Drosophila melanogaster: one gene and its partners. The protein of the gene in region 1 interacts with the protein of each later gene in a pairwise test. Each region holds a gene or a part of one and is shown in the gene's direction. Other genes may lie near its edges. The genes, in order: CG14684, CG12182 and CG5062.

The links.
Region 2: the proteins of CG14684 (region 1) and CG12182 interact in a two-hybrid assay, tested with the Drosophila melanogaster proteins (one large-scale study listed by BioGRID).
Region 3: the proteins of CG14684 (region 1) and CG5062 interact in a two-hybrid assay, tested with the Drosophila melanogaster proteins (one large-scale study listed by BioGRID).

What each region holds. Positions count from the first base shown.
Region 1 is NT_033777.3:10,701,545-10,710,523, forward strand, and holds CG14684 (uncharacterized protein), read left to right. Parts: upstream 1-5,429; 5' UTR 5,430-5,458; coding exon 5,459-5,839; 3' UTR 5,840-5,916; downstream 5,917-8,979. Other genes in the region: pug (pugilist), read left to right, coding at 1-1,295, 1,362-1,604; CG31391 (uncharacterized protein), read right to left, coding at 2,003-3,445; CG31467 (uncharacterized protein), read right to left, coding at 3,748-5,190; CG31278 (uncharacterized protein), read right to left, coding at 5,931-6,242, 6,314-6,718; CG31373 (uncharacterized protein), read right to left, coding at 7,043-7,354, 7,512-7,790; CG14689 (uncharacterized protein), read right to left, coding at 8,132-8,979.
Region 2 is NT_037436.4:2,590,587-2,601,554, reverse strand, and holds CG12182 (uncharacterized protein), read left to right. Parts: upstream 1-1,975; 5' UTR 1,976-2,053; coding exon of another isoform or gene 2,054-2,119; 5' UTR 2,120-2,174; coding exon of another isoform or gene 2,175-2,198; 5' UTR 2,199-2,235; coding exon 2,236-2,290; exon of another isoform or gene 2,291-2,430; intron 2,431-2,484; coding exon 2,485-4,361; intron 4,362-4,412; coding exon 4,413-4,565; 3' UTR 4,566-4,705; coding exon of another isoform or gene 4,706-5,523; 3' UTR 5,524-5,579; coding exon of another isoform or gene 5,580-5,685; 3' UTR 5,686-5,713; downstream 5,714-10,968. Other genes in the region: CG16986 (uncharacterized protein), read right to left, coding at 193-534, 596-685; CG16985 (uncharacterized protein), read right to left, coding at 1,444-1,658, 1,723-1,867, 2,054-2,119, 2,175-2,198; CG16984 (uncharacterized protein), read right to left, coding at 4,706-5,523, 5,580-5,685; dos (daughter of sevenless), read right to left, coding at 6,509-7,033, 7,090-7,690, 7,754-7,994, 8,056-8,167, 8,236-9,002, 9,069-9,393.
Region 3 is NC_004354.4:5,177,194-5,188,008, reverse strand, and holds CG5062 (uncharacterized protein), read left to right. Parts: upstream 1-5,639; 5' UTR 5,640-5,828; coding exon 5,829-6,425; intron 6,426-6,489; coding exon 6,490-7,638; 3' UTR 7,639-7,827; downstream 7,828-10,815.

The sequences.
Region 1 (8,979 bases):
CTGCTGGCGGCGGATACGCCCAGGTGATTCCCATGGAGGAGTTCAATCTCCATCTGACAGGAGACATTCATGCGGTATCGGCAGCCAATAACTTGCTGGCCGCCCAGCTGGACACCCGCATCTTCCACGAGAATACCCAAAAGGACAAGGCCTTGTATGACAGATTGGTGCCCGCGATCAAGGGTCAGCGGAAATTCAGCCCCATTCAGCTACGCCGGCTCCAGAAATTGGGAATCACCAAAACCGATCCCGATACCCTTACCGCTGACGAATACGGACCTTTTGCCCGGCTGGACATCGATCCGGACACGATTATGTGGGAGCGTGTGGTGGACATCAACGATCGGTACCTACGCACCATTACCGTTGGGCAATCGCCCACTGAAAAGGGTATTTCGAGGGAGACCCGGTTCTCCATCTCGGTGGCCAGCGAGATCATGGCTGTGCTAGCACTATCCCGAAGTCTGGAGGACATGAAGCAGCGGCTGGCTGACATGGTGGTGGCATTCGACAAACGAGGCAAGCCCGTAACCGCTGACGATTTGGGTGTCACCGGTGCCCTGGCAGTTCTTTTGAAGGACGCTCTCGAGCCGAACCTGATGCAGTCGCTCGAGGGAACTCCAGTGCTGGTGCACGCTGGTCCCTTTGCCAACATCGCCCACGGTTGCAACTCGATCATCGCTGATGAAGTCGGCCTAAAGCTGGTTGGTAAAAATGGATTTGTCTGCACGGAGGCCGGGTTCGGATCAGATATTGGCATGGAAAAGTTTTGCAACATTAAGTGTCGGACATCCGGTCGCAAGCCGAACGCCATGGTGCTGGTAGCCACTGTGAGGGCCATCAAGATGCACGGCGGCGGAGCTCCCGTCACTCCCGGAGCCCCCTTGAACAAGCAGTACACCGAGGAGAACTTGGAGCTCGTCCAGAAGGGTCTGCCCAATCTGCTGCAGCACATCGAGAACGGAAAGGCCTTCGGCATGCCAGTGGTGGTGAGCCTTAATGCTCATTCAGCAGACACCCCGGCGGAGCATGAGTTGGTCAAAAAGGCTGCTCTGGAGGCAGGTGCATTCGCCGCCGTAGTCTCCACTCACTGGGCGGACGGAGGAGCCGGAGCCGTTCAGCTGGCCGATGCCGTGATCAAGGCCTGCGAACAGGGCAATCAATTCCGATTGCTCTACGATCTGGAGCTGCCGCTGGTGGATAAGATGAACAAGATCGCTACGACGATGTACGGCGCTGGAAAGGTGGTGCTCTCGCCGGCGGCTGAGGAGAAGGTCAAACGCCTGACGGATGCGGTAAGTCGAGAACATTTTCTTCGAGAAACTGAAAGTATTTATAGAAATGCATTGTTCAATTCGCAGGGTTTTGGCAATCTACCTATCTGCATGTCCAAAGTCTCCGGCTCCTTCACCGGCGATGCCAAAATCAAAGGCGCCCCCAAGGGCTTCACCCTGGACGTTGAGGACGTATATGTTTCAGCCGGAGCCGGCTTTGTGGTCGCCATGTGCGGTGAGGTCACCAAAATGCCGGGTCTTCCCACCCGCCCGGCGATCTACGATATCGATCTGAATACGGAAACCGGAGAAATTGAGGGCCTATTTTAGACGGCAACCTGGACAAGGGAGAAGATTCCTAATAACTTTCAACGCCTTTTCACATCTAATTCCAGAGTAGTAACAAATTTATCGTTTTAACTTGTATATAAATGATATAGAGATAAGATTTAAAAGTCGGTAAACTAATATACATTTCTGACGATTTGAGTTTTCTTTAAAACTATCGAGTTTTTACTTTTCAGAAGCTAAAGAATGGAAACGAAATATTTTTAGTTTTTATATATTTTCATGATATTATAAATGAATTTTTTTTTATATGTAGACAGGTTGGAAATATATAAATTACACGAATACCTATTTTTGGCCCTCAAAAGTAAGGTAGTATTCTTGCACAAAATCGCAACCAACAATGCATGATTTTTGCTGACTACTTTCAAGCCGACTTTTTAGGTACTTTGTCTTTTTCCAAAGTTCCCCTTCTTCACTGTGCTAACGTCACTCACACGAGGCGACTCAAAGTAGTCCACCTTTCGTATGTTAGACACTATCTTGAAGTAATTGGCAATGATCTTGTCCACTTCTTGTCCCTCATATGCGGTGGCCAATTCCTTTTCACATCGTGAGACTACGTTCGTGAGCAGACCTCCGGACCGAAAGAACGCTATGTTGATCTCCCGTTTGACCCACTTGCAGATATGTGAATGGGTGACTGGCTCGAAAAAGTGAAAGATCTCGTAAAAGTGCTCGTAACTCTCGCCAAATTTTCGCATTTCAAGTTCACCCAACTTGGGAATGTCCAGGTGGTTTCGTCTGATGATATGATATGGGTCGTATTGCTCCGAAAAGTTTGAGAACCGAACTGCTGGCCAGTCGAGGTTCAGAAGGGTGTTGTAGAGATTCTTCGGGTGGCCAAGGATTCCATGGGACAGATCAATCAAGCGGAGCTGCGATCCGGGCACAACGTACTCCAACTCGATCTGAGCGATGTGAGGATCAGTGCCCCTATACTTACGCTTTCCTATCCACAGAATGGGCAAATCCTCCGTCACAACATGCTCCAACTCTTGGACCAGCGGAGAGATCTGGACGCGATAATTGAGGTTCTTGTTGTTTCGGCCGTAAAGAAGACTTCGCTCCGCCTCCGTGAACTCAAGGTACTCAGGGCGGACGGAAACAAAGTGCTCCGACCGGAAAAGCCGATTCATCTCCATTTCGATGACGAAATACGCTCGGCGATGCATGCATATCCAGACTATTTGGATGGATACTGCCAGAAAATGCTCATGGAAGTACTTATCGTGGATAGTTGCTGAAATGTTGGAAATCGGCTTCATGTGGTAGTACTTGGCCATAGATCCCTCGCCCTTGATAATCTCACAGTAGTTTCGGGCTAATAGCATGCGGAAGTGGCTCAGGTAAACGGAATAGGTTTTCTTCATCTCAGTGGTCTGCTCGCTCTGAATTTGGGCCATCTGGCCAGAGAGTTCATCTCTGCGAATCAGGACGAACTCCACCAGGCGTAGGTAGTACTCAAAGTACAATGTTAAGGCGTGGAGCACGGACTGCACCTGTGGCTCATGCATGAATTCAATGAACTTGTAGGTTAGAAAGTCTTTAGGCATCAAGTAGAGCACCAGATCTCGAATATCTCTTAGCACCACTGTGTCACTGGTGTTGGACTTGGCGCGTACATACTCCTGCCGGAAGATAAGCTCCTCCTCTTGGTCGATGGTACGCAGGAACTTGTACCCATTGGTGATTATATAGCGCTCTCTTGCGTTTTCCAGATCGTTGTGCGCCTGAAAGTTGAGGCAGTCCTTCTCCGAGTCCCATGACCACTTGCCGCTGTAGTACTTTGGAGCGTAGTTATCGACATGGACTCTTTTCATCGTAGTCGCGCAGATAAACCAAGATCGGGTTGTGTTTAGTGTTTTTAAAGTGTATTTAAATTGATGTGTACGTGACGAAGTTTAGTGGAATTATGCTCATGTTTAAAGGCCTAAAGTGAAGTTTTATTCCCAAGCTCCCACCTACGAAACCCATACCCTTGATCGGATGCCAATGTCTTTCGTCTTCGTGCATTTATTATAAAATAGCAATCCATAAGTGTCAGTGCTTTAAAGCTCCGATTTTCTGTATATATAATAATATGCAAAAATTGCAATTAACGTATAAAATTAGGTAGTTTTTTTTACCGCTTTGCCTTGCCTACACTAAATCGCGATGCAATACTACTACGCGTAGATGATGCATGCTCCGGATCTCTATCCTCCTTGCGTATTTTGGACATGATCTTAAAATAGTTGGAGATGATCTGATCGACCCTTTGTCCTGAAGATGTGCTTGCCAACTCCTTTTCACAACGCGAGACTACGTTCGTGAGTAGACCTCCGGACCGAAAGAAGGCTATGTTGATGTCTCGTTTGACCCACTTGCAGATCTGATGGTGTGTGACCCGCTCATGAACCTTACAGAGCTTGTAGAAATGTTCATATTTCTCTTTCATTGTACGCATCTGAAGCTCACCTATCTTGGGTATTTGCAGGTGAGGTCTCCTGATTATATGGTACGGATCGAACTTTTCCGAGAAGTTTGAGAAGCGGACAGCCGGCCAGTCGAGACTAAGAAGCGTGTTGTAGAGGCTCTTGGGATGGCCCATGATGCCGTGCGATACATCTATAAAGCTGAGCTGCGAACCGGGCACAATGTACTCCAGCTCAATCTCGGCAATGCGGATATCGTTTCCTCTGTACTTGCGTTCGCCTATCCACAAAATGGGCAAATCCTCTTCAGGAACCAGCTTTAGCTCCTGGACTAGAGGCGATTCCTGAATTCGATAATTGTAGTTCTTTTTGTTTCTGCCGTAGAGAAGACTGCGCTCCGCCTCCGTGAACTCGAGGTATTCTGGGTGGGCGGAAACAAAGTGCTCGGAGCGGAAAAGGCGATTGATCTCCATTTCGATTACGTAATACGCCCGGCGATGCATACAGATCCAGACTATTTGGATGGCCACTGCCAGAAAATGCTCATGGAAAAACTTATCGTGGATTGTTGCTGAAATGTTGGAAATCGGCTTCATGTGGTAGTACTTGGACATATTATCCTCGCCCCCGATGATGCGGCAGTAGTTTCGTGCAACAAGCATACGATACTGGCTTAAGTATACCGAAAAGGTTCGTTTCATATCGTTGGTCTGCTCGCTCTGCACCTGACCCAGGGGACCGGAAAGCTCATCCCGACGTATAAGTATAAACTCGACCAGTCGCAAATAGTGCTCAAAGTATATAATCAGGGAGTGAAGCAACAAGTGCGTATCCCGCTCGTACATGAACTCAACGAACTTGTAGGTTAGAAATTCTGAAGGCATAAGGTAGAGAACCAAGTTTCTAATATCTCCGACCACCACAACGTCACTATAGTTGCTTTTCGGTAGCACATACTCCTGTCGGAAGATGAGCTCCTCCTCCTGGTCTATTGTGCGCAGGAACCTGTAGCCATTGGTCATAATATAGCGCTCTCTTGCGTTTTCCAGATCGTTGTGCGCCTGAAAGTGGAGGCAGTCTTTCTCCGAGTCCCATGACCACTTGCCGCTATAGTACTTTGGGGCGTAGTTATCCACATGAATGCGCTTCATTGCGTTTGGCAGTAAATAATGGTATAAATTTATAAAATCGTATTTTAGTCAAAAGCAGTGAAAAATCAGTGTCGTTACATTGAGAGTTAAATATTTATGTTCCTCAAAAAGACTGAAATTTAGATGCTGCAGCGACTCCGATTATTTAAAAGACCAAATACAATAATTTCCAAGGGCGTGATTTTTCTGTCAATCTGTATTCTCAGAATTTGTATTTTCCGGTACCACGCTGATTTAGGTGACCGGTGTTTCCCGGACTGTGCTAAGCATGTTCCGCCGCACTAATGCCGATCCGGTCATACGGCAATTTATTCTGCGCACTGCAGTCCTCAATTATCTTGGCAAGAGTCTGCGAGAGCAGTATAATGAATATTGCCTTTTGAGAACCCAGCACGAAAATATTAGGCTGAAGACTGCGAGTGATCAAGAGCTTGAGGACCTGCCGACTCTTTCCGAGCTATTTGAGATGCAACAGTTGAAGACGGCTGCCACCCATCGTCTGCTGATGCGGGAGTACCAAGAATTGCTTGCCTACATGATGGACAAGAGTGATTTGTGGGACAGTCAGGAGTACTTCAAGGCCAAGTCTGCGCTTGGGGCGGCCATCCACAATCTACGGGTTTGTGCACCCACCAAACCAATGGACTAAAACCAGTCGAGAGGAACATTTGCCAGATAGAATTCCATTCAATCAGTATATATACATACATAAATAGTGAAACGATCCACGAGCGACTTAACTACTTGTAGAAGGGTATCTCCACGCGTCCGGATTTCGTGTTAACCGCCTCCCAGCAGGTGCACGCAAAGGTTGAGCGGTCCATGTGATCGGTGTATAGTTTTCCCTCCAGGTGATCCATTTCGTGCTGCGCTATCCGGGCATTCCAACCACTCAGAGCCAGTTCGCTTTGGTTTCCTAGTTGGTCAAGGCCTGTTAGCTTTACACCTTCGAAACGCTCCACTTCGGCAGAGTAACCTCGCACACTCATGCATCCTTCTGGATGCTTCAGCTTCGCGTAGTTGGTCACCGTCAGGACGGGATTGATGAAAATCTGTAAGAAGCAAACCATTGTATTATAGGGTTTGGGCTTCCGAACACAGCTAGTTAGGACCCCAGTCTCACAGTCAGTGGCAACTCGGACATTTGTCGGGCTTGGTAAACGGCCTCGGGCAGCTCCTTTCGGATCCGTCCCTTGAACTCCATTGCTATGATCCTGAGCGATACTCCAATCTGAGGAGCCGCAATGCCGACGCAGTCGAACTTCCTTAGCACCTTGACCATCCGCTCGACGATGGCCTTAATCTCGGGGCTAGCCATGTGCTCCTTGGGCACCAAAGCCGCTTGTTGCCTAAGAACAGGGTCACCAATCTGGGTGAAATGGTTGTATGGCGGCAAGTTTGTGCGCTCCGTGGTCCACAGGTGCTGGTACCACTTCCTGAACGACTGATTAGCGGGAGGACTCGTTCCAAAGGATCGACAATGTCCCAGAATCGCTTGGCATACTTTTATCCGTGGTTTCAGGTGCATTTTGTGAAATGTTTAGCCTCCTTTAATATTCCGATCAAAATCGTAGGGAATATAGTTACACAACACGGTCATACTGGCCAGCTGACCGGCTAGGGATGTGAAAGTATGTACCTATCGATATATCGGTGGAAATAGATTTGATATTTGGCGCGCTTTTAAATATATGCTAGGTGCATAAAATACTTTTTCCCCGCACACAAAGTTTATTTCGTAAACAGCGCATTCATTTCAGAAGTGTATTTTATTTTCAAACAATATACAAATATGTTGTATAAAGCGCCATAAAAAAGTGAAAAGCTCCTTGAATTAAATGCAACCAAGTTATTACTTGTGAAACCAAATGGCGGATCGACCTTCAGCTGCGTTGATTTGCTCCCAGAGGATGCAGTTGAAGGTGGAGAGATCCATCCTATCCATGTAGATAGTTCCATTAAGGTGATCCACCTCGTGCTGGGCGATCCGTGCGTTCCAGCCCTCCAGTTCCATTTCCGACGGAGTGCCCAGCTTGCCGATCCCCCGGATCCGGACCTTATCGTACCGTTCCACCTCAGCGGAATAGCCTCGCACACTCATGCAACCTTCGGGATGCTTGTTTACTTGGCTGCTGATTATCTCCAGCTCCGGATTAATGAAGACCTGCAAGCAAATGATTTATGATGAGAAATCACGGGATTGTTGCTGCACATAAGCAATATTTTTGTATGCAGAAATTTAGTTTCTCAAATTCATACGTTTATAAAACTGCATAGATTTACATATATTTTTCGAACGCGAAAAGAAAAGCTTTACTTACGGCCAAGGGCAGTATGGACATCTTACGCTCCTCGTAGATTTCCGGCTTGAATTGCTCTTGCTTTCCCTCTCGGAATTCCATAACGATAATACGCAGCGGTATTCCAACTTGGGGCGCAGCCACGCCCACGCAATCGTAGTGACGTAACACCTTTACCATGCCGTCAATAATCTGGTTGATCTCCCTACTATCGATGTCCTCGGGCGGCACCTCTTCTGCCCTTTGGCGCAGAACAGGATCCCCAATTTGGGTAAAATGACGATATGGCGGAGCGGACATGATTCTGGTCGGAAGAAGATCTCTACTGAACCGTGTCTATCGAGCAACTACTGCACAGAGCTGTCGAGGTGGACAGATTTTGATACGATAGCCTTATCTGGGGATCAGCTGATCTGCCATTTGAAACACTGGGAACGATAAGTCTACGGTTCGCATTTTAAAGCGGAAATATATACCTTAAAAATCCAATACAATTTTTTAAAAATACTAGTAATATCCTACAATATTAGTAACAACAATATTGCCAAGCTTTCAAGATTTATAAGTATTTTATTCACGAATAAATAATTTTGAAGTATTTGAAGTCTCTTGAAAACCTAATGGATGTGTACGACCTCAAATCAATCGAAATAGTATTCCTGTGGCGTTTTCTTTTGGCGCGGCGAATTGAAGCCCCCGATCCGCGAGGAGGTGATGCTAACGTTGTCCGGTTCATATGGAGATCCCTTGCGCAGCCTGGACTTCACCTTAAAGTAATTGGATATGACCTGGTCGACCTTGGTTACCGGTACCTTTTCGGCCAGTTCCTTCTCGCACCGGGATACCACGTTGGTGAGCAGCAGTCCCCCGGAGCGATAGAACTGGACGAGCTTGTCCCGCTTGAGCCACTTCTGCAGGATCTGCACGCTGTGCGGCTCGTAGATGCGATACACCTTGTAGAAATGCTCGTAGTTTTCATTCATCTTGCGCGCTTTCAAGGCGTCGATCTTGGGAATGTCCAAGTGCGGCTGGCGAATGATGTGGTACGGATCGTAGCCAAGCGAAAAGTTTGAGTAGCGAACTGTGGGCCAGTCCAGGTCTAGGATGGTGTTGTACAGATCCTTCGGATGTCCCAGTATGCCGTGTGCCACATCGATCATACGCAGCTGTGGTCCCGGCACAATGTACTCCAGCTCCATCTCGGCAATGCGCTTGTCGTTGCCTCGGTACTTTCGCTCGCCAATCCACAGGATGGGCATGTCCTCCTCCGCCACGTGCTCCAACTCCTGGACGAGCGGCGATATCTGGGTGCGATAGTTAACGATTTTATGGTTCCGACCGTACAGTAAACTGCGCTCCGCCGGCGTAAAGCTCAGATACTCCGGACGTGCCATAACAAAGTGATCGGAACGAAACAGACGGTTCATTTCCATCTCAATGACATTGTACGCACGGCGATGCATGCAGATCCAAACAATCTGGGTCATCA
Region 2 (10,968 bases), on another chromosome or scaffold:
GGAAACACACCGGCAATTGCGCAATGAGCATGTTTAATTGACAATTAACTAACAATGTACTGCTACACGTGTAATAAAATAAAGCACATTAATAACCCATAATCATTTATTTGTACAAATTATGAAACTTACTTGGGGCGCTTCGAAAATATTTTTCAAAACGAAGTAGCTCCCAATTTGAGACTATCTAGTCTAGTCAAATTTGATATACTTTAGATGTGTGCCCTTGGCTATCACCAAGTCGTCCTTCTTGTGCTTCAGGGTGCAATCGATGAAGGCAAGGTACTTGCCCACCTTGGACAGATTGGCCTGAATCACCACATCGTCGCCCAGTTTGGCGCCGTTTAGAAAGTTTACACTAAGATCTACCGAAACTCCGGGATGACATGGCTTGGACATTAGGGCGTAGGTGGTTATCAAGTCCACCAGGGTCATGATATAACCGCCGTGCAAAAACTTGTACAAGTTCACATGATCCTGGTCCACCTTTAGCTCAGCAGTGCAGGCTCCATCGCCACCGTCTACGATCTTGACCTTTAATGGAATATAAGGATGAGATAATGATATTGGTAAGGAGACTCTATGGTGATCTAACCTTCTGTAGGTGACTTTCAAAGCCCGTTGACTTGTTGATAATCTCGGTGATGTGTTTAGCGAATTCGAGTCCCTTCTTGCGAGTTCCCATATTATTTATTGATGTTGCTTTACAGACGATCCGCTAGCTTCTATATAACTACAAAATGAATTAGTTTGTCCGATCGGAACGATTAGAAATATACTAGATTTAGTTTTGTAGATAGATAAGTAGTCGTAACGTGCACTTATATCTCAAGTGTCAGATAGTAATTGTTTTACAATAGAACAATCCAACTTTATTGTATGTATGACGTGTGTAAGTTTGGATGGGACTAAATCCATTAAAAAATAAATCACAGTAGTATATTAACAAATGGATTGCTTTGATTTTTTCAATATTTGATTTCATTATCTTCGAGTGCAGTTTTCCGCTTTTCGATGAAAAGTAAACAATTAGCAAGTATCAAAAAATAAGGTAAACATAATATAGCACGATATTATGAAATAGTTAGTATTTAGTTAACGGATCCTACCTAACTATCCCCGTACTGCCCGAAATTTACATAAAAATCTGAAAATCTAACGTAACACCTAACAAAACAATTTCAAAACAAACAACAGCTGTTTTGCGATAAGCAGAATCGCCAATCGATAAGTTAAAAGGGCAAATCGATATGCAAAGTCCTACCTATTTAAAAATTATCCGTTGGGATTTCTATAGTCTTTCATCTATTTTAGTTTTAAATATCTTTATTTTGTAAATTAAGAAATAACTAACTTAAGAAATAATAAATAATTAAACTAGTACGTCTTAAGCAGAGGTTCGAAAGATTTTATTTCGTTTTCTGACGATCTACAAAAATTGTTTTAAAAATCCAGTTTTTCCTTGTCGAACTGAATGTACTTGACCTGTCCGCCCTTGGCGATGATCTTTCCATCGGACTTACGCCTCAGAATGCAGTCCAAATAGGCCATTTTCTTACCGGCCCGCACGGTATTACAATCAATTTCAATAAGTTCGCCAGGTTTCGCTGCTGCAATGTAGCTTACATTCAGGTTGGCCGTAACTCCGGGATGGGATCCTTGAAATTTAAAAAAATTTCATTGTAGATTCTATAGATTGTAATAAACAAACTTTCAAAATACCTTTCGACATAAGGGCATATGTGGTACAATTATCAACAATTGTTGCCGTAAGACCACCGTGCAAAGTTCCTTGGCGATTCAAATGCTCATTGGCCACAGTGAACTCCCCTATTGCGCGACCATCTCCACCGCCTGTAATTTTAATCTGCGAATTGAAATTTGTTTACATTTTTGAATCTCTGAAGATCCCACGAGAGAGGTGAGCACTTCACGGTTATCGATTGCAGCGAGCTGAATTATGTAATACCATCACTGATGACAGTCAGCTGTTTTTGAGAGACTTCGACGGCGTCGCTTTAAAATCGGCTGCACAAATTGTTTAGAATCTTACCATTTTCAAGACGCGGTCGAATCCATTGGACCCGCTGGCGTACTCGGACATCTGCTTCACAAAGTCCTTTGAAAAGAAAGAACTTCAGTTATCTACTCAACAAGTTACATGGTGCTCTAACCATTCCCAGTTTCTTGGCCGCCATTCCGGTGGATTTGGATTCCTGAACTGAGCACGACGAAATGACGAAAGTTACTGAGGGAGAAATTTCACATGGCGTTCAAGATGTCGGGAAATGTGAGTGTATGCGTGCTAAATAGATATACCCACACATCTGAGATAGTGATTGCCGATTTCGCGCGGTTTGTTGTGCTCGCTCTGTTCGCACTTACAAATAATTCCTATTCTTCAATGAAATAGTGTAACTGGAATATCTTGTAATATAATTGCAGTTTGTTATTGCAATTAATAAATGTTTAATTTCGTTCTAGATTATCTGGATTTTCACCTTCTAGCCAAAGGATTCGTCCGCCAGGACTCGGTACACGACTTTGTAAACAGCGATTCCGATGGAGACTTTATAGCACTGAGCGGCTCCAAATCGGAAGTGATCACTCTGGAATTGAGCAGCAAGTTCATGGTCGTGGATCCCTTTCCGTATTTTGTGGCCATTTATGATTCCAACGCTGCGGAAACACGACCTCTGGACGTTTTGGCCAACAAAGTGGATCTGGTTGCCATATACGACAGCTGCGATGTCCTGGAGGCACAGCACTTGGCCCTGGACCCGGCATACACGGCTGTGTGCTCCGTTGCCGTGCCACCAGCCAGACTAACAGCTGTTAAGCGAGCACCCAAGCTGGCAGCTAATGGAAATCTCCTCCTGGGCTCCCTCAACACTTATGGATCCTTGAGCCTAATAAACAAGTCCGCTGAGTACAATCGTTGGAACCCTGTGGAAGGACTAAATATCGCTGAAACTCTGAGGGACACTCTGCTGCCTGAAGTGGACATCGCCAAGATAAAAGACTTTAAGAGCTATCAAGAATATATTAATCCCGCCTGGATCACTATGTTTGCTTGGTTACCTGATGATGCAGATGCCACTGGCCAGCATGTTTTGGTTCTGGGAACAGCCGCAGGAAGTTTGTGGTTGCTCACACTAAGCGCCGATGTCAAAACTCTTTTAAGTCATCAAGAAACGAAAACCTCAATGGGTCGTATCTGCCATATACAAGCTTTCAAGGACCTTCTACTGGTGGGCGATAGCAACGGACTCATTCACCTGTACCAATTGCCAGCTAAGGGAAATACAGCTCTCGCCTTAGTGAAGCCCTTGTGGGAGAAAGCCGATCGCATGGGTCTGCAAATGGCAGTGATCACTGAATGTCCCAGAATGGATTGCTATTATATAACCTGCTGCAAGGCGGCGCACCTGCTGACCTGGAGCATGCCAAGAACGGGGAGCACAGACTGCCTGCAAGCTCGGATCTATGTCGGCGGAATGAAGATCACCGCTCTCTGCAGCCTGGAGAACAGTAGCTACGTTGCAGGAACCGCTGGAAGCTGTTTGTCTTGCGTACAAATTATCCACGAGAATAATCAGCTTAGCCTGCAGATGCAATCGATAGCCATGGGTGTCCTTCAGGATTTCCAGGTGATGGGACTGTGCACCAGTAGGCACAAGAACTTAATGACCCTGTTACTCTACCGCAACAAGGAATATCTAAATGAAACTGTATCTCAAAAGAACCAGTTGGTTATGCAAGTGCTCAAGGTGGGGAATCAGGATCCACTTGATCAGCTTGTCAGGCATCTGGAATCCAATAAGCCCATGAATCACTATACCGATTTATTAGCTGGACTACGTCTGCACGTTTTTGCCGAGGAGAATTGGCAAAAATTTATGGACTTTTGTCCATTAGATTCCATTGAATTTGCCGATACCGCCACTGAAGGTCAGCTGCAGCAGCTGCAAATTAAATTTCATGTTCTTCAAAACGTGATTCGCCTGCAATCGAGCCACCTCCAGCTGACAGTTCACATCCAAAAGTCCCGGGATGAACTGCAGCTGCTCCTTGCGATGCTGAATATCACACACATAAGACTGAGGCTCCAGTTTATTGGGTCATTAAGTAAGAGATCACCATTCCAGGAGCAGGCGATAAAATGTATGTTCGAGGAGGCCCACAGACTGATAAATAAACTCAATGACGACTTCACGGAAAACCATGCCCTAGGATCCACAGCAAGGACATTCGTTGAACAAATGGGCAACCATATTCAGCACTTGCACGAGATGCTAGGTATACCTGTGATATCTAATCCCCAGAAGCAACTTCATCGATGCAGTGTGTCCTTTGTGGAGGTAAGAATTCACTAGAATTCATTTTAAGACAAGACTACAGTATCCGTACAGATCTCCCTCAGCTTGGAGCGACGCTACTGCAGCCTCTGCAACCGCCAAATCCTATTCGAGCTGGACAATCTGCAAGAACTCTACGAGTCGGGGAGACATCTGACATGTCCCGTTTGCCATGGAAGCTTTGCCACGGAAATGTTTAATGCATAAACGTTAAATTTATTCTCAATCTTAATTACGAAGTGTTTTGTGTGTCCGCCTCTAAGAGCAAAGCAAGTGAATCCATGGAGACACCTCACTCGGCTTCCAGATGCCGACACACATGGTCAGAAAAGGTGTGTGTGTCATTGTTAGTACTCGGAAACATAGATAATGGGAGTGGTCTCGATTAGCAGAATGTCCTGCTCCACCTGGCGAAGATCGGACTCCAGCTTGCTTTTGCGCTGCCGCTTGGCGATGCTGTCGATAAGGAGCGACATCGACTGATACTGCTTGGTCATCTCGGTCAGGCTCAGTCGCAGTCCCTCGAGGATCTCATTTCGCTCGGCCTGCTCCATCACCCGCATACCCGGCATTGGCGGCGGACCACTTGATTGGACGGATGCCCTGGTGAAACCCTTGATACCGCGGCACAGCTCCAGCAAACGTGCCTGTTCCTTGGCACACACCGCATTCATGTCGGCCAACATCCTCTTGGTTTTCTTGAGGTAAACAGGCACCTTGCCGAAATCCTTGCGGCAGATAAACTGCGGTACCAATCCGGAATTGAGTAGATCGTGACGAGCTCCCACGGGAGTGTCTACATAACGAGGTGGCGGGGGACAGGGAACCGTTTGTCCGGCACATATCTTGTTGCGTTTGATGAAGTTAGGTACCATTGCCGGCTTTTTGCCGCCACTGCCCGGTGGTGGTAGTGGGGGCATTGGCGGCATCTTGGGACACTTGTGGGTGTTCTCTCGCCGCCATTTGATGCCCTGGCTCTTGCGCAAATAGGCGCACGGTGGGTCAATCGGAGTGTGAGCACAGCCCATGGTGCGGTGGGCTGATTTCTTGGCCTCTGTCAGGACGCGGGTTCCATCGTTCTGGAGGATAATCGATAGCTTCTTGTCCTCCTCGTTAAAGCGTTCGCGAAGTCTCTTGGCATACTTGGCTGCCCTCTCCACAACAGCTGCAAAATTGCTTAAAGTTAGGTGGGAGGTAACGATTTTTAGTACGAATCCCTACGATTTTTGTAGACAAAAATTGATTCCTTAGGTCCTTGGGCCTTCACAAAGTCCTGCTCGCACTCGAGAATATTCTCATCGTGATGGGTGATATAAACCAGGGACATTGTAATACAAATATGTAAGGATGAAGGTAGGGAACTCGAAAGCGTGCTAGTTTACTGACTATTCGTTTAATAATAACAGTCTGTTTGGTGGAGACTCCTGCGTTGCCAAGTACCTCTGCGTTGACTTGGATTGATTTAACTCGAAACAAAGGTTGCTATAGGATTTCCAGAATAAACAGAAGGCAACATCGTTTCCTGGTGATATTGTAATATTCAGATATTTTCTAGCAATCGGAATTCGATATTTGTTCTGGATCTTTTAGGAGAACACACAAAATTGGTATTATTGTATATATATTTTTTAAAGCACAAAATCAAGCTACAGCTTGTGTCGCACACGAGTTACATTATTAAATTGTAAATAATTTGTTACCATATAAAATTCGTGTATATAAATATTTCGCTTGCGTATATAAAATAATTGTTTGCATTGTAAAATTAGCACTAAGATCGTTTGTCATGGTTACATTTTGATTCCGAAGCTTAACAATAAACATGGAAGTGTTGGAAGCACGATTTAAATACGAATACGACATAGATTCAGATACGGGTTACAGATTACAGATTCAAAACAGCACACAGAAATGCTGGTGCCGTCTTACAAGCTAGATATGTGGTTTAATGAATAATGAATTTGACGATGTTAACGAATGTAAAAGCCACTCGAAATTTGCACTGTTTTTGGATGGGGTCAGCTCTCCTCAGCTGACCACCAATAGGCACTACGAAAATCTCGGATCAGCAACATGGTCCTTCCTTTGCTATTGCACGTTGACAAGTAGATGTACTGGAGATATGATTTCATTTAGCTGAACCAGCAGTTTCACTTGTTGCCGCTGCTCTCGCGCTCCTCTCGAATCCTCTTAAATGCCTCCGTCTTGACAAAGTCCACGGATCTATAGACCACGCTGCTAGGCACTGGCGCTCGAGCTCCGCCAGCTTCGACGCCTGCGAATCGCATTCCACTAGCTCCATTTCCGCCTTGTGAGTACAGATTCCCCACACTCATGCTGGATCGATTTAGCAATGGCGGTTTGTTGGTCACATCCAGATCAAAGTACTGCAGCTTGTGCTCAGTCTGCGCCGCCGCTTGCTGCTTGGGAGCAGCTGCTGCCGTCAAGCTCATCATGGCAGCCGCTGCGGAGGCGGTGCGCTGATGTTGTACCGACATGCTGCCGGGACTGTTCGGATGATGCCGATGCTGTTGGCGAGGCAGGGTGCGGGTCTCGTGAAAGAAGGCGTTGGCTGCCGCCGGGGAGTGTACATCCGTTTCATGCGGCAGCACCATTGAGAGAGGGGCACCGGAGGAACGTCGCGTTGCCGGCGACATGGTAGCCGAATTGCCCAACTAAAAAGAAGTCATTAGTAAATTGAATATGGGTGTGCACAACGTTTGTCACTCACCTTATAGGCATTCGGTTTGCACTTCCTGTCCACACTGGGCGGTCCAATGGGCTGCTGCAGTTGGGCTGCACCCAGTTTATTGGTTAACTGATCTACGCCCACCGGGGGCTTTGCAGGAAACTCCTCCGGCGGTTTGTCCTCTACAACTGGCAATCCACCCGCCACCTTTGGCTTAAGTTTCCGGTTAACCGGCGGGCAGTCCGCCTGCTCCATGAAGTCGTATCGAAAAACATTGCCCTCCATCTTTGTGGGAGCTGCATTGGTGTAGCAGTGTCGAGGCAATGTGCGCGCACTGGTGGGCGATGATGCGACTGCCTGTGCCTCACCCATCAGGCCGGGATTCGCTGCCGCTGAAATTGCGGCCACTGCACCCAGATCGGCCGCCATGAGATTCGGTGTGGATGCTGCAATGGGATTGGAATTGTGCGGGCTGGTGACTGGTCGCTCGCCCAGCAGCTGGTTGACGTTGTAGTAAGGCTGCTGGTGGGACCTTGGAATGTCATAGCTTTCCTCGATGAAAGCGGAGTGCGCGTTGCGGCGGGCCACAATGGCCGGCGAAGTATTTTCCGTATCCGACAGCTGCGGCAGATCGCGAGGAATTCTGTCAATGCGCAGGATGATTTAGTAGGCCGTTTAAAATTGAATTGAGTGTGTGTTAACTCACTTTTCATTCTCCTTAAAGTCCAATATGAGATTATTTTTGTTCTTCAGCACCTTGGCCAGCTTATCCAGCGTTCCCTGGTCACCAGCCTCTGGCAGAGATGCTGCTCCTGCTAGCTTGGAACTCTTTTCAGCTGGTGGCACGATCGCTCCTCCTTCCTCGGGCATTTTAGAGAATCGCTGCGAGTACGTTAGCACGAATGATTCGTTTTCAATGGAACTATCCGAAGGTCGGGTACTGCGATCTGTGAGAAATCTTTGTTTACTACGAGAATTCGCTTTGATATTTGCCTTTTGAGTACTTACCCACATTCTCGCGCAGTGGCAAAGGATGAGCCCACTCATCGTCATCGGTGAAAACGCTTTCCGAATCGGAGTCGGAGCGTTGTTTACTAGCATTGTTATTGGCCAATTGTTGCTGAAAGGCCAACATGATAATTAATTATAAATAATGCTTGACGCGCATCGTTATCGCTATCAACTTACCAGACTCAAATTGGTTATCTTCGGTGAGTAGGATTGATCGTTGGTCAGATTTAGACCTATGTTATTATGACTACGCGGCGTATCGTAGAACTTGGGATCCAAGTTGTTCAACGGCGTGGTGGGGTTGTTTGGTATGGCCAAATCTGCGCCGGGCAGTGGAACGCCGGGCAGGAATCTCGGGCTGCCCGAGAAGCACTCGCTGATGGGTATGTACGGTCCGGATGCGGTGCTCAAAGCGGGTGAAGCCTGTACGCTGCTGTGTTGCTGGGCAGCTGCCTCCGCCAGGGTCTGCTGCGTGAGCACCAGATGCTCCGGCAATTTGCGCACTACTCCGTTGGCACTGACCGCCAAGCGAGCAGCTTGTTGCTGCTGCTGCTGCAGTTGCTCGGCGGCTGCAGCTGCCGCCTGAGCTTGGATCAAAGCACTGTGGTTTAGATAAAGAGCCGTGGCCGGCGATGGAGGCGGTTGCTGCTGGGCAGCCGAGAGCAGTTCCTGCTGATCGAAATTGGCATCGCAGAGCATCGTCTCGCGATTGCTGTACTCCGTGTTGACATACACCGAGTCTGAGTTATTGTTGCCGGCATTCGAGGGCATCGGTTGCTCTTCAATGACCGCCGGTCGTCGCAGCTGGGCAGATCCTCCAGCATTTGGGACCGAAGCCTGAGGCGCTGTGGTTCCGGCCGACGAGTGCAACGATGTGGTGGTCGTATTTTGAGTGGAGTTGCTTAGACCGCCACTGGAGCTCGTGTGTTGGGTGCGGTTTTCGTCTGGGTGTTGCAAGAAAAGAAAAACTTAAGAAGGGGTTCTTTGGACATGGGCTTGCGGACACTCACCTGCACCCACAGCTCCTAATGGCAACTCATTCGATTGCTTTGTGTCGTGTAGGTGACACACCTGGCAGATGCAGTTCACCCAGTCGCGCATATCCGCCTCCGTCTCAGCAGCCAGGTAGTAGGTGCGCTTGGGCGTCTTGATATCGAACATGTACTGAAACTTCTGCTTGCGATTCTCCAGCCGCAGGCCACAGTCCACCTGCTCGCACTGATCCAAATCGATAACGCCCTTCAGCTTGCGGCAGTTGTGGTCGGTGTAGTATTCGAGGCAGAACTGCTCCGGTATCTCGCCCTGCTTCAGCGTGAAGTAGCGACGCCTCCAGCGCTACAAAGATAATTTGGAAACAAGGCGTTAAGAGTTGCAACGAGGCGTACAGTTGGAAAAGCAATAGTGATTTCTCCTATGCCATTACACACACAAGATTCCTTCATAGCGACATATGTTAAATGGGTCGTGGAATTGCAAATATCACACGATAAACTGTCTTTGTTTTTTTGTAGCAAAACAATTCAACAAAGTCAAAAATTCCCCCAAAATGAGATTTGTAGATATTGCTTCTTTTGCAAAGAGTCTGAGAATATTAAACAAGATTACACTGTTACAAATTGTACTAAGATGCCTGAATAGTGATGACTAACTTCATCAGGTAGTTACTCATCAGGGCGAAGAGCAAATGAACAATCTTGATGCTTACAATATCATTTACGCATCAAAAATGTAATTTTCCTAGAGATCTGATAATGCGGTATTTATGATTAGAATATAGTGAATCATTAGCAAATTTTCTAGAATTTGCGACACGCCAAGGCTTTCTTTAAGTCTATCTCTAATTATACTATATCTTGCAGTAGTTTAGCTATATATAAACGTACTACGCGAGTGTACCGATGTCTCCGTTCTGGATTAAGATACCCTTACTGAGCGATGGACTCCGGTTGTTGATATGAGGGTAGGGTACGGCTGATCAGCTCAACGACTGAGTACACTATCACTGCTGGTGAGTAAGCGGGTGATGAAGCCCGAGTCAACAGAGACTGCAGCGGCGCTGCTTTTCCGCGAATCATATTTTGCATTGGCATTTTCTTGGGTAATCAGCAGACACACACACAGAAATAACACCCCCGCCCACGTTACCGTTAAGCGGTTAAGAAATTAACAGCTGAGAGGTTCGGGAACCCGCTGAAAACGTAAAACTCCAGCTGATAATGGATGGTTTTTTTCGGACTGTATAATATCAAGCTTAATTGAATTATAAACAATAAACATAATGCCGCACACAGGCCAGAAATTGGCACCCCGAGGCGCTGGAAATACGCAGCTCATTTTCTCGAGGCATCATTAGAGTTTGTTTATACAATGGCGCTCAAGATATTAGAAACGCAAACGAAAATGTGCGGGCAAAGGTTCTATTTTTAAAATGTTTCTAAATTTGTTTACTTTTAACGCGCCGGAAAGGGTTGTTTTTAAAATTAGATAGCTGCTGTAAACCTTTACAACAAAATATTCCATATTTTGTACGAAGTTTGATGTCAAGAGGTTAGTTATTTAATTTATATTGTATAATCTTAAGCAGTTTTCAAAATAGTGTGATTGAATACTACCATTTTGGACGCTATTGCACGCCTCAACATAAGCAAACAAATTGAGTACAGTGAAACCATAAAGTGGGTTTGCTGTAACTGAAAATTCTGTGCTGCAGACCTTTTGATCAACGGTTTGGGTGTTCTTGGAACTGTCGTATCCATTATAAGTGGTTTCAAATGAACGCTCTAGAGATGGGCACACTACAGAGTGTCGTGTCACGAACTCCTGAGGGAGAACTTCTATATTTTAGCTTTACTAGTTTAAAATCCAGTAAAATTTATTTGTCTGAGCAAATCATTCTATTTATATTTAATA
Region 3 (10,815 bases), on another chromosome or scaffold:
ACGAAACGGAGAGGAAAAGGCGTTAGTGAGTGGGTCAAAAATTTGTGTAGACAAGCTGAAAATCTTTATTACACACGCCCGCATGTGTGTGCTTTTTATTTTTTTATTTTTTTTTTCTTTTGGGGTGGTGGCTGTTTGGGGATGGCTTATGGTTGTCGGCTTAAAAAGGGCCCATAAACTAGGTCAAAGGTTCTCCCCTCATCTGCATGCCTGGCAAAAATGTAGTTATAAAATCCAAAAATCAGCTTGCCACAGGCATGATTCTGCGAAATGTATTTGCCTATTTACAGCCTATTGCACATTTTGATGGCAGGCGCCCCAAAAACAGACAGAAAAAAAAAAGCTAGGAAAAAGGAAAAACTTAGTCGAGCGCAAACCGAAAACTAAATTGAATTGTGCCATGGGGATGAAAAAGTGGGGGCGTATGTGGATGTGTTTATATATGTTGGTCTCTCTCCCTTGATCTCTACACTCCATGGTATGGAATTTTTGTATTTTATATGTGTACTATGTAATACTGATACACCTCCCATTCCCATTCCCATTCCCACTTCCACTCCCAGTCCAGATCCCACTTACCGAGAATGCTTTGAGAAATACCAAACACTGTATGATGCCCTCCATGGTGTCGCCGGTTAGGCAGAAGGTGCCCGTTAGGTGGCGTCCCTTGCGGCCCACTGTCGCCGCCGCCAGCGAGGCATGGACCAGCGCCCTCTGTTGGCCACCGCCGGCGGCTATGGCTGTTGCACCACCGCCCACACTGACCATGCCCTTGCCAGCGGCGGCGGATGCGGCGGCAGCGGCTGTGGCCACAACGCCACTGGTAAGCATTCGTGGCAATGGGGCCGCTCGCATCAGACGCTCCAGCGAGTCCATGGCGGGAATTATCGGAACGCTGTTTATCGTTTATCGTTATAATCGTTGATTTTGTTTTTTCTTTCTTTTCTTTCCTTTTCTCTTTGTTTTTATTTTTGGGGGGGTATTTTAATTTATTAATTTCTTGTTGTTTTGTTATGTTTTGTCGTTTAATAGCACTCGAGTTGTTTGGTTTTTCTTGTCGTGTTTATTGTTTTTCTTAGTCTGTCTGTAGCGCACATCTTACTCAACTGCAAGTTAACTTGGTTTAACATTGATTTTGAGAATGTTCAAGAAAAACAAGATCCCACAAAAACCAAAACCAACGAAAAAAAAGACAAAACCAATCACACAAAAACTTTGCAATTTTATTTGCCAACGAGTAAATAATAACAAACTAGATTAAAGAAGTAAAAAAAAAAAAACCAAAAATTCAGGAGAAGAGAATAACATGGTTATCGGTCAACGGCAGGCGAAGAACTGAAGCTGCAGCAAAACAAGTGACCCACAAGTCACAACTACTTTCCATATAAAATTTATAGCCAAGACGGAATAGGGGGAAAAAGAAAAATAAAGACAGAGACGGAGAGAGTGGGAGAGGGAAAGAGATAGAGAGAGAGAGAGAGAGAGAGCATCGGGGGCTCTATGGGGACTATCAACAACCAGCAGAAAGTAGACAACGAAAACACCAACAACAAATGAACAGAATGGGACAAGTCGAAATGAACTGCGAAATGCAAAATGTCATTGTGATGACTTTGTGGGCAGCATTTGGGCACTTTGTATACCGAAATATACGAGCATATTCCAGGAAGGCAAACATGACACCAACTTGGAGCATCAGTCACGCCCCCAACTGCCATATTGGATCCACAAGACGAAGACCATGGCCATGCCCATGCCTATGCCACCCCACCGACTCCTCGAACTTTTGACCGCTGACTGGGGACTAATAAAATTCAAGTTAAATGGTTGTTAAAAATTTATAGCAGACGCCTCGGCTTCCGTGTGCCATTTCGAAGGCATTGGGAAGAAAATAGCAACAGCAAGGCGCTACTTTTGTGTGGAAGGGGGGGTAGAGAGGAGTTGTGTTCTGCAGAAGGCCGGGGTTTCGCATAGAGGTAGCCACAAAAATTTCAGGCACGCTGCCCAACATCTAAGGTAGTCACCAATAGAAATCTAGATTTATGGCATCCGTTTTAAGGCAGCCAAAAATTAAATGGCTTTCCGTTATAAACATAAAACCATAGGTTTAATATTCCATTGCACTTTACCATATTAATTAATTAATTTCTTCGTGAATCTAATAGACTTAAGCCCTTAAAGTGCCAAAAAGAAAAAAAAAGAAGTATTTCATATTAACTTTGAACAATATTTCCTCGAAATTCAAGTGGAAACTTTTGTCGCCTGACCAAAGGCCTCATACATACACATACATATATGAGTTTTTCTCTTCCCATTCTTATATTTGATGCTTTTTGTTTTGTTTTCTAATTCTGTCAGCAGTTACAGTTGAAGAAAAATAAGCATACAGCTGCCTGACAGTCCGGACAGCAGTCTTGGTGCTCCGGTTCCTCTGGCTTTGGCCATAGCTTCTCCTATAGCTTTTCCCACATCTCTGACTTTGGCTTTGGCTTTGCCAGCCGGCCGTCATCCGTTGGCTCTTCCGCTTCCATGGGTCCTGGGCGCTCGGAGCGTAATTTATCTGCTGGAGGAGCAGCAGTTGTAAAAAGGGGGGGAATTCCGCCTGTCAACAGGAGTCCTACGTTTCGAGTCCTCTTTGGCCATGGGTAAAATTTATGCAAACCGACGTATGGCCAACAGGATGAGCGAGTGGAGCCAGAGATATATGACCCCCTGCACAATCCAAAAAGGAGGGGAGCTCAAGGAGAAAGGGTGATTTGGAGGATATGAGGGGTATGCCCAGTGTATTAACTGCAGCTAAATCAAAGTTTTGAGCCCAGTTATGAATTATTTGCCATTGTTCAGCAGGCGAAACATTCCTTTGTCGCTGACTTTGTCCCTTTTTGGCAGGAAGCCCGATGGTTTTCCTTTTCCCTCTCCACACTCCCCACTTCCCACAAGCCCGCTCCATATACCAGCGCGGAAGGACACTACGATCCACCTGCCGAGTCATTCGAACCCCGGCCCCCGCCAAGTCAATTTGAACAACATTTTGCCGCAGCTCTGGTTATACAAACAAGATTCCACATTCCGCTTCTTGGCTCTCGTTTTCCTCGAAAGGTTTCCCTCGCTGTTCCCCATGCCTATCTTATTTTTCTGTCTAGCTGTGATGATTTGCCATTTGGGGCAGGACCGTCCTAGAGGCACGTAAATTGAATGGCCGGAGCCAAAAGGTTCTGCAACCTGAAGTAAACAAAACAAAAAAAAAAAAAAAAGTCTAGCAAAAATTAAGTGAAAATAATAAACCTTTCGCACACACACATTTTCTGCTGGTGGTGATGGTGGTGACTTGGGTGGTAAAGGAAAAGGCAAATGCTGAAGGGAAAGCAAAAGGGCATTACACACACGTTGACCAACGGATGTCCTGCTGCCTGATGGCATTACAGTTAATTAAAGGTGAACCGATGGCCACAGAGTCCTGCCATCCAGCACAGTGGGTTCAAGAGTCCAGTAAATTGGATTTAATTTCAATATATGTATATTGTGACACTATTTGTACAGCCATTTTTCGGATATTGATGTGTACCGTTGGTTGCAAATAACTTTTGGACTGCAATCTTGCCACCCTAAAAGGTAGTTGTGGATAGGGAGTGATTTTTAATGACTTTCACGATTAAATGCCCAAGGAATCATTTTCAGTGGACCGGAAATTATCCCATGGTGACTGTGCGCATGTGAGCGGAGGTCCACTGTGTGTGTGTTGTGCTGCTGCTGCTGCAGCTGCGTGTGTGTGTTAGTGTGTGTGAGGGCCATGGCAAACTGGAAACTTTGCAAATGAATGGCAAGGCATTGGAAATAATGAGCCGTATTTACATTTCAAAGCGCTCGCACAGAGCGAGAGCTGTAAAAGTTTTTAGCCTCCCCAACGGACTACGGGTCAAAATCAGTTACGGAACTCTGAAATGAAGAAGGATTGCGAGAAAAGAGGAATAAACCCACGGAGGCTGTTGTTGTAGTAGTTGTAGTAGTAGTTGTAGTAGCATTGCACACGCACACGCACACGCACACAGATGAAGCCGGGTAAATCTCCTCCAGAGTTGTGTGGGGAGTAAATTGCGAAAGCTTTCGGTGGCAGGATTGCATACAATTTGTTTTATGGCCATGGCGTGCACATTAAACGCGCACTTAATCACACGCAATGGGCGTGGTCGGTGGATCGTCCCACCGCCCACCATCGTCGTCGTCGTCTACGGCGACAAATCAAATTGATTTCGCTTTTCTGGCTGGCTTGCCCGCTGCCCTTGCCCAAAAATTTGTACGCCCCCTTTTTTTTTTTTGCCCCTTTTGTTGTGTTGTTTTGCGCCTTATTAAATCACTTTTATTGCCATTGAAATGTGAGAAAAGTTTTACGGAGACGATGCCCCCCCTTGTCGTATATATTATAGTACGTAATATGATTTTTAGCTGCTTGCCAAAAAAAAAAAATAATTCATATTTATGGCAAAAACTTCACGCTCAGCGCGATGTGAGAAACATCGGTGTTATTGATGTCTGGCGAACAGGAGTGTATTTCGGGCGGAACCCATGCAGTCAGAGGTGGTCGCTGTTGGTTGTCCATAGTGAAGGCAACCATTTGCCCCACGGCCACCACACCATCTCATCGGAATCTCGAGTATTTGGTATTGGGTGTCGAGTAGCGTAGTAGATGGAGATGTCTCTTTGTGCGCCCAACAACACAAGCGCCACACAAATAGACAAGACAAACACTATGGGCTGGATATTGAGTTTCGGTTTCGAATTCTCTTCCAGCATTCGTCATATGACGACTAAAATGGAATTTGGTCAGTATCGAGTGCACAAAAGACTCCGGCTAGTTAAGTTATACATATACCAAAATACCGTAAAATAAGCATAACTTGAGCAAAAATAATCATTTTCGAGCACTTTCGAGCAGCAAGTGACATGCGGTATTATAGCCCTGCTTAAAAGCCAGCTTGTTGAACTATATATATTCCTCCATTATCCTTTTTTTTCTCTCACCAGCCTAATCTACGGGCAACAGCGAGATTTTCACAAAAAAAATATATAAAAAAAATAAACCAGCGACCCCTATATTCAGGCACTGCGTTTCAGCGAGGCGTGTAATTAAATTTTCATGCCACCTACCTGGTGGCTGGATTTCGAAGGGAGAGTAGGCGGTGGGGCAAGCGGGCCATGGGCGTGGCACTTACATACAAAGAATGCAAATTGTCGGGGCTATTCCAAAATGCAAGCATCAACGCCTTCGAATGCAACCAAAGCAGGCGGAAGTAAATGCAGCAGCGGCGGCAGCCTTTCCCTTTTTCCCCCAACTAGCTTTCCATATATCCTCGCCCCCCCCCCCCCCCCTTCACTTATCCTCTAGTTTTTCCTTCTCACCTGCCACTCGACAAAAAACGACACTCAAGTGGTCAGGTGTGAACAAGTGTAGAAGCAGCGTACACGAGCATGTTTAATTTTGGGATACTCAAATGTATAACCGACCTATTAAAGGAACTCTATGATTCAAAAAGTACCTGTGAGCCTACATTCCCAGCAAATACCCTGTAATTGTAATGCTATACCCAGCAAGCTTTGAATTCATGTAGATTTAACCTGCCAGATTCGATTGGATAAACAAACGAAATATACGAAACAAGCAAACAAAACAAGAGCCTCCGAGCAAATAACACAAACAGACACGCCAACAAACCGAACAAAGGAACAAACTCAATAGCTAAGCGAGAAATCTGCTATTGCGTTTTACCCCACACCCCTCTGGCCATTTGCAATTTCAAACGCGATATACATATAGAATAGAATTCGTCAAGATGCCAATGGTGATGCCATGTCGTTCGCGAGCTGCGATGAAACTGCACCCGGATTGCTATGATCGACTTAAGAAGCCGATTTATCTGGAAACGCCACCATTATCGACCGTCGAAGAGGAGCCACTATGTGGCGTACGCCGTGATAGACCCGTAAAGCCAAAGGTTCAGAGGCGACCATTACCGCCCGGCACACGTCTACCGAATCCAGTAGCCGTGCCTGGACAGAAGATCACACGTTCGGCGGTGGGTGGCGGTAAGGCGCCACCGCGAGCCCGAAAATACGACGGTGCCAAGGCCACGTTCTTTCACATCAAGGGTCAATCATGGGAATCCAAGGGCTATGCGGAGCTCTCACAGTGCGAACTGGATCGCATGCGGGCATCGAGGCCGCGTACCACCGAGGAGCGTCGCGCGGAACAGGATCGCCGGATGGAGGAGCAGCAATATCATACAGCCGAAGCGGAACGTATGCGTAACTATTTCCACGACATTGATGAGCAGCGCAGGGAGAAGGAGCGCGAGGCCCAGAAGAGGGACGATGACGAGGCCGATGAGGATGTCAACGAGGATCGGCGTGCGGAGGCCAAACGATTGCAGGTAGTTTTTTGGTTTATGGTTCTTAGCCATATTTCCGAAAGTATATCTCCACCACCCATTGTAGGTACTACACCGCGCCTTGGATGCCAAATACGAGTCAGATGTGCGAGTTAAGGATGCCACGCGTGCGATATCCGAGGCCAAATGCAGTGCCATGTGGACGGCTCAGATACAGGAAAGGAAGCTACTCAATCGCATTCAACTCGATCATGACGAGGAGATGGCTCGCAAGAATCGCGACTACAACAATGCCAAATGGGGCACGGTGGAGCAGCAAGATCAGGCCGAAGAGGAGAGGCGCCGGCAATTTGGCAACGCAGTGCGTGAACAAATCACTGATCGCGAAAAGTTACGTTTCCTGGCCCAGGATCGTCTGCGATTGGAGGCGCGAGACTTGCGTGCCGCCGTCGATGAGTATAAAAAGGCTGAATTGGCAGAGGGCGAGATGAAATCGCGCCGTAAGCTGGCCTATCGGGATGAATTGAATAAGTATACGAAATTGCATCGCAATTTCGTACGGATGATGTGCGAACAGGATCAAAGAGATGAGAACAGGGCCTACGAGTATCTAAAGCTCAAGGAGCAGCAATTGAAACAACAGCGAGCGGAACGCGAAGCCATCGCGGCGGATGAGAAACGCAAACGGGATGTTCTCTTTGCAGTCGGCCAAAAGATTCTCGATGCTAAGGATAATCGCGAGGAGATGCATTTCCTGGCGGAACACGAACGCCTCGAACGAAAGTACAGAGAAAACGAACGTAAGGCAGCCGAAAAGGAACGCAAAATGGCCGCCGAACTCAAGCGTGCCAATATGGAGCAAATGGAGCATCTTAGCCAAATGAAGGCCTGCTTCTATGTGCAACGTGAACGCGAACTAAAGGAGATGATCGAGTATCGAAAGAAGCACGAGGAGCAAATGAAGCGCGAGGCCGAGGAGCAGGCCATCAAAAAGGCCTGTCTGCGCTCCAGTGTCTCGTGCCAAATCGAAGAACGGGAGAAGGCTCGTCGCCGCGAACTGGAGGAGGAACACTTGGCCTTCGAAAGGGAGCGGGCAGCTGAGGCGCAGCGGCAAAAGGAAATCGATACGGTGATCACAGTCAAACTGGATGATCTACAAAAGCGCGGATGTCTGCCCAATTTGGCGGTGCAATCGCTAAAGGGTCGTGTCGCCAATGCTGGCAACAAAAAGAAGCTGGGCGCTGAATTCACTTAGATAGTTATATTTTCTAAAAATCCATCCATAGACAGACAGCATCAAACACGCGCACACACTCACTCCCACACACACACACACACACACACACAGACACACACATGAACTCAAGTTGACAATGGCATAGATGATGACTTTTCGAGCTTGGCGGAATTAAAACTTGCAGCACATATAAAATGTACATAATGTATATGCACGTATTTTAGCCACCCTGTGGTGGCAACTTTTCCGTGTGTTCCTCGCCTTTTTTGTTTGCTGTCAATTCAACAAGTTAAAACTGCAGACCGCAGACAAAAGGATATATAGACTGGCACTCATTAAGCAGCAGCTGATAGAGCAAACAAAGTTTTTTCTATCGCTGCGCTCACTCTTTTGCATGTATTAAATATGCACACAGATTGCACACGGTATTCGGTGCAACTAAAAGTCAACTTTATCCTGTCGCATTTGCGGCTGCAAAAATAATTAGCCACACAAGTAATCAAAAACAATGGGTTCAAATGCAGTTTTGGGCAGTGGTGTTACTGTTTTATTTAAGGTTAATTATTAACTAGTTTATGATCTAGGGATTTCGCGCAGTTTTGTTGAATATCATTTATTCGTATAAAGGATAAAAACTAAGCAAAACACGCAGCGAAATCGAGTATAAATCACAAAAGAGGCGCCACAGCCACGCCTTCTCGCACGAAGCTATCAATTCTGTAAAGTCAGAGAACAGAACGCTGAGATTAATTGAGTTGGATAAATTTCGCCGGGCTAATACGTCTTTGGGAATTAACCCACGATAGATGAGTGGGGGTTAAAAAGGCGCACACAGACACACAAGGATTAGGGTAAATTAAGTTGAGTTTAAGTAGAGAGGCATTTGTTTCACTTAAATTCGCGAAATTAGCAAAAATTAATTTCACTCGGATGACTATTGATTCGATTTTGTGAAATATTCACAAGAAACAGGCACACGGGCACGAATGGGTTAAGCTGACCGTGACTGCATGGCTGTGGGTCATCCATCCATCGGCATAGCGGCGGGTTAATGATGCAGAAGAATATTGCCCTTGAATGAACTAGCAGCAAGCAAAAAGGCCGAGATGAATGTGTTTCTGGGTTAGCAGAAAATGCCTCTCAATGGCTTAAATACTTGCCATGATGCAGCATTTATGGCAAATATTCACACACACACACACACACACGCACCCACCCACGCACATACACTCGCATATGTACCGCAACATACACACAATATAATTGCCAGTTCCTGCCTGTCGAACACAAAACAAAAATCATAGCATACTTTTCTGTGCGCTCAATGCGAATATACAGTTGTGGGCGAAATAATAGCGTACATTAAAATCACATGCTTAAGACTCTTTCAGCAATCAAGTAAAATTAGAACACCCTTAATTCAGAACCTTTAAGCTATATTCTATAGATACCAAAGATATTCTCATCAATATTCGCATCTTGTGACCTATTATGTTGAACGCACATGTACGTACACATATATTTGTTAAATGTGGAGTACATGTATATGCACACGCACACATACGCAGGCAATTGGAAAGAGGGTAGCTGTGTGTGAGTGTTGCGCGTGTGTGCGTGTGTGTGTGCTTGGTAAAAACAAACAATAGTAAAACTGATTAAGTCGGGGAAAACCACATCAAGCTAAACGATGATGAAGAAAAGACCAAAAGATTACGAACGTTGAACGCTGAGCACAAAAGGGAGAGACAAATGGTTGAAAAGAAGAGAAATGGTAAGGGCAGTGGAGAAAGAAGGAGGAGGACGATGAGAAGAGGGGGGGCATGGAGATGAGGAAGGACATGTGGGGAAAGTTAACTTGATGCGGGCCAAGGATAGACAAACACACATGGTCACTGGAGATGAAAACGAGGTCCAAGGAATAAAAGAATACAACAAGAAAATTCTACCACATATCGAATAATTGAAAGGATATATGTACGTATGTATGTACCTCTATATGTATATGTACATGTACATACATTTATATAGGGCAGATAGGGAGTCTGCTGCGACAATTTGTAAGATATGATAGTAATGCTCTACAGCTTTTCCTCCTTTCTTTCCCTGTTCCCCTTTGATTTTTTTTTTTTCATTTTTTCCTCCAACAATGACAGCAAAATTAGTCATTGTCCTCCGTCTTTAGCTCCCATCATTTGCATATATGTGAGAGCGCCTGGCTGTGGCTGGGTCTCTGTGTTTTGCTAGTCCTGACAATTATGTACAATTTACTTTGCATAACACTCGAAAGCAGAGGTTTAAAAGCCAGGCCCGCCAGGAATGAGAAGGAGACTGGGACGCCAGAGACCTGGCCAAAGCCAACTAGTTAGCATATTTGTTGTTCCAGTCCCCCCAAGTGGCTAAGACCCAGAGAATTCTGCCAGGAAAAAAAGCCAGCAAAAAAGGAAAAAAAAGCGAACAAAACGAAAAAAGCGAAGCAAAGAATTGTAGGGAGAGAAAAAGCAGAAACTGAAACTAGAAAAATTAAAGCGAAGTTAAACCAACAATCTAAACAAAAAGTAAAAAGTTTCGAGAGGAGGACCAACCACATGGAAGGGCCAGAATTTTAAACTGTGCGCCCTCTTCCCCACTCTCTTCCCCTCATTCTATCTCTCAACGAGCGAAATACACAAAAATCTGAACCCAAAAACAGGAAATGTTAAATAAAAACCAAATAGAATAGAATCAAATATGCAAGAATCTGTATGTTTAAGTAGTTTTGGATGTAACCTTACTAGTACTCTTTGCACACCACACGTGTGCGATTGTGTTGATTGACTTCGCAGCTGCAAAAAGTTGGGAATTATTAGAGCCGGGCTTAGCTAGCGATGCAGAGAGAGAAAAAACAGGTGACAAATTGACGGTGGCTTATGTGTGTGAGTGTATGTCCGAGCGAGAGTGAGAGAGAGAGAGAGAGAGAGATAAAGAGGTAGAAGTTGGAGTTGAGTTGGATTTTCGGGTGTTAGTATGTGGTGGACAATGAAGATAAAAAAAATCACGTGATTTACGTACAAAAAAAAAAAGTGGGCTGGTGCAAAAGTTCTTGTCCTGTTAGGTGAAAGTGAAAGAAATGTTATTGAGGTTCGAAGGAAAAAAAGAGTGCAGTTGGGTGTGAAAAATATGACCACTTCTCTGAGCAAGTTTGACTATTGTTGGTAT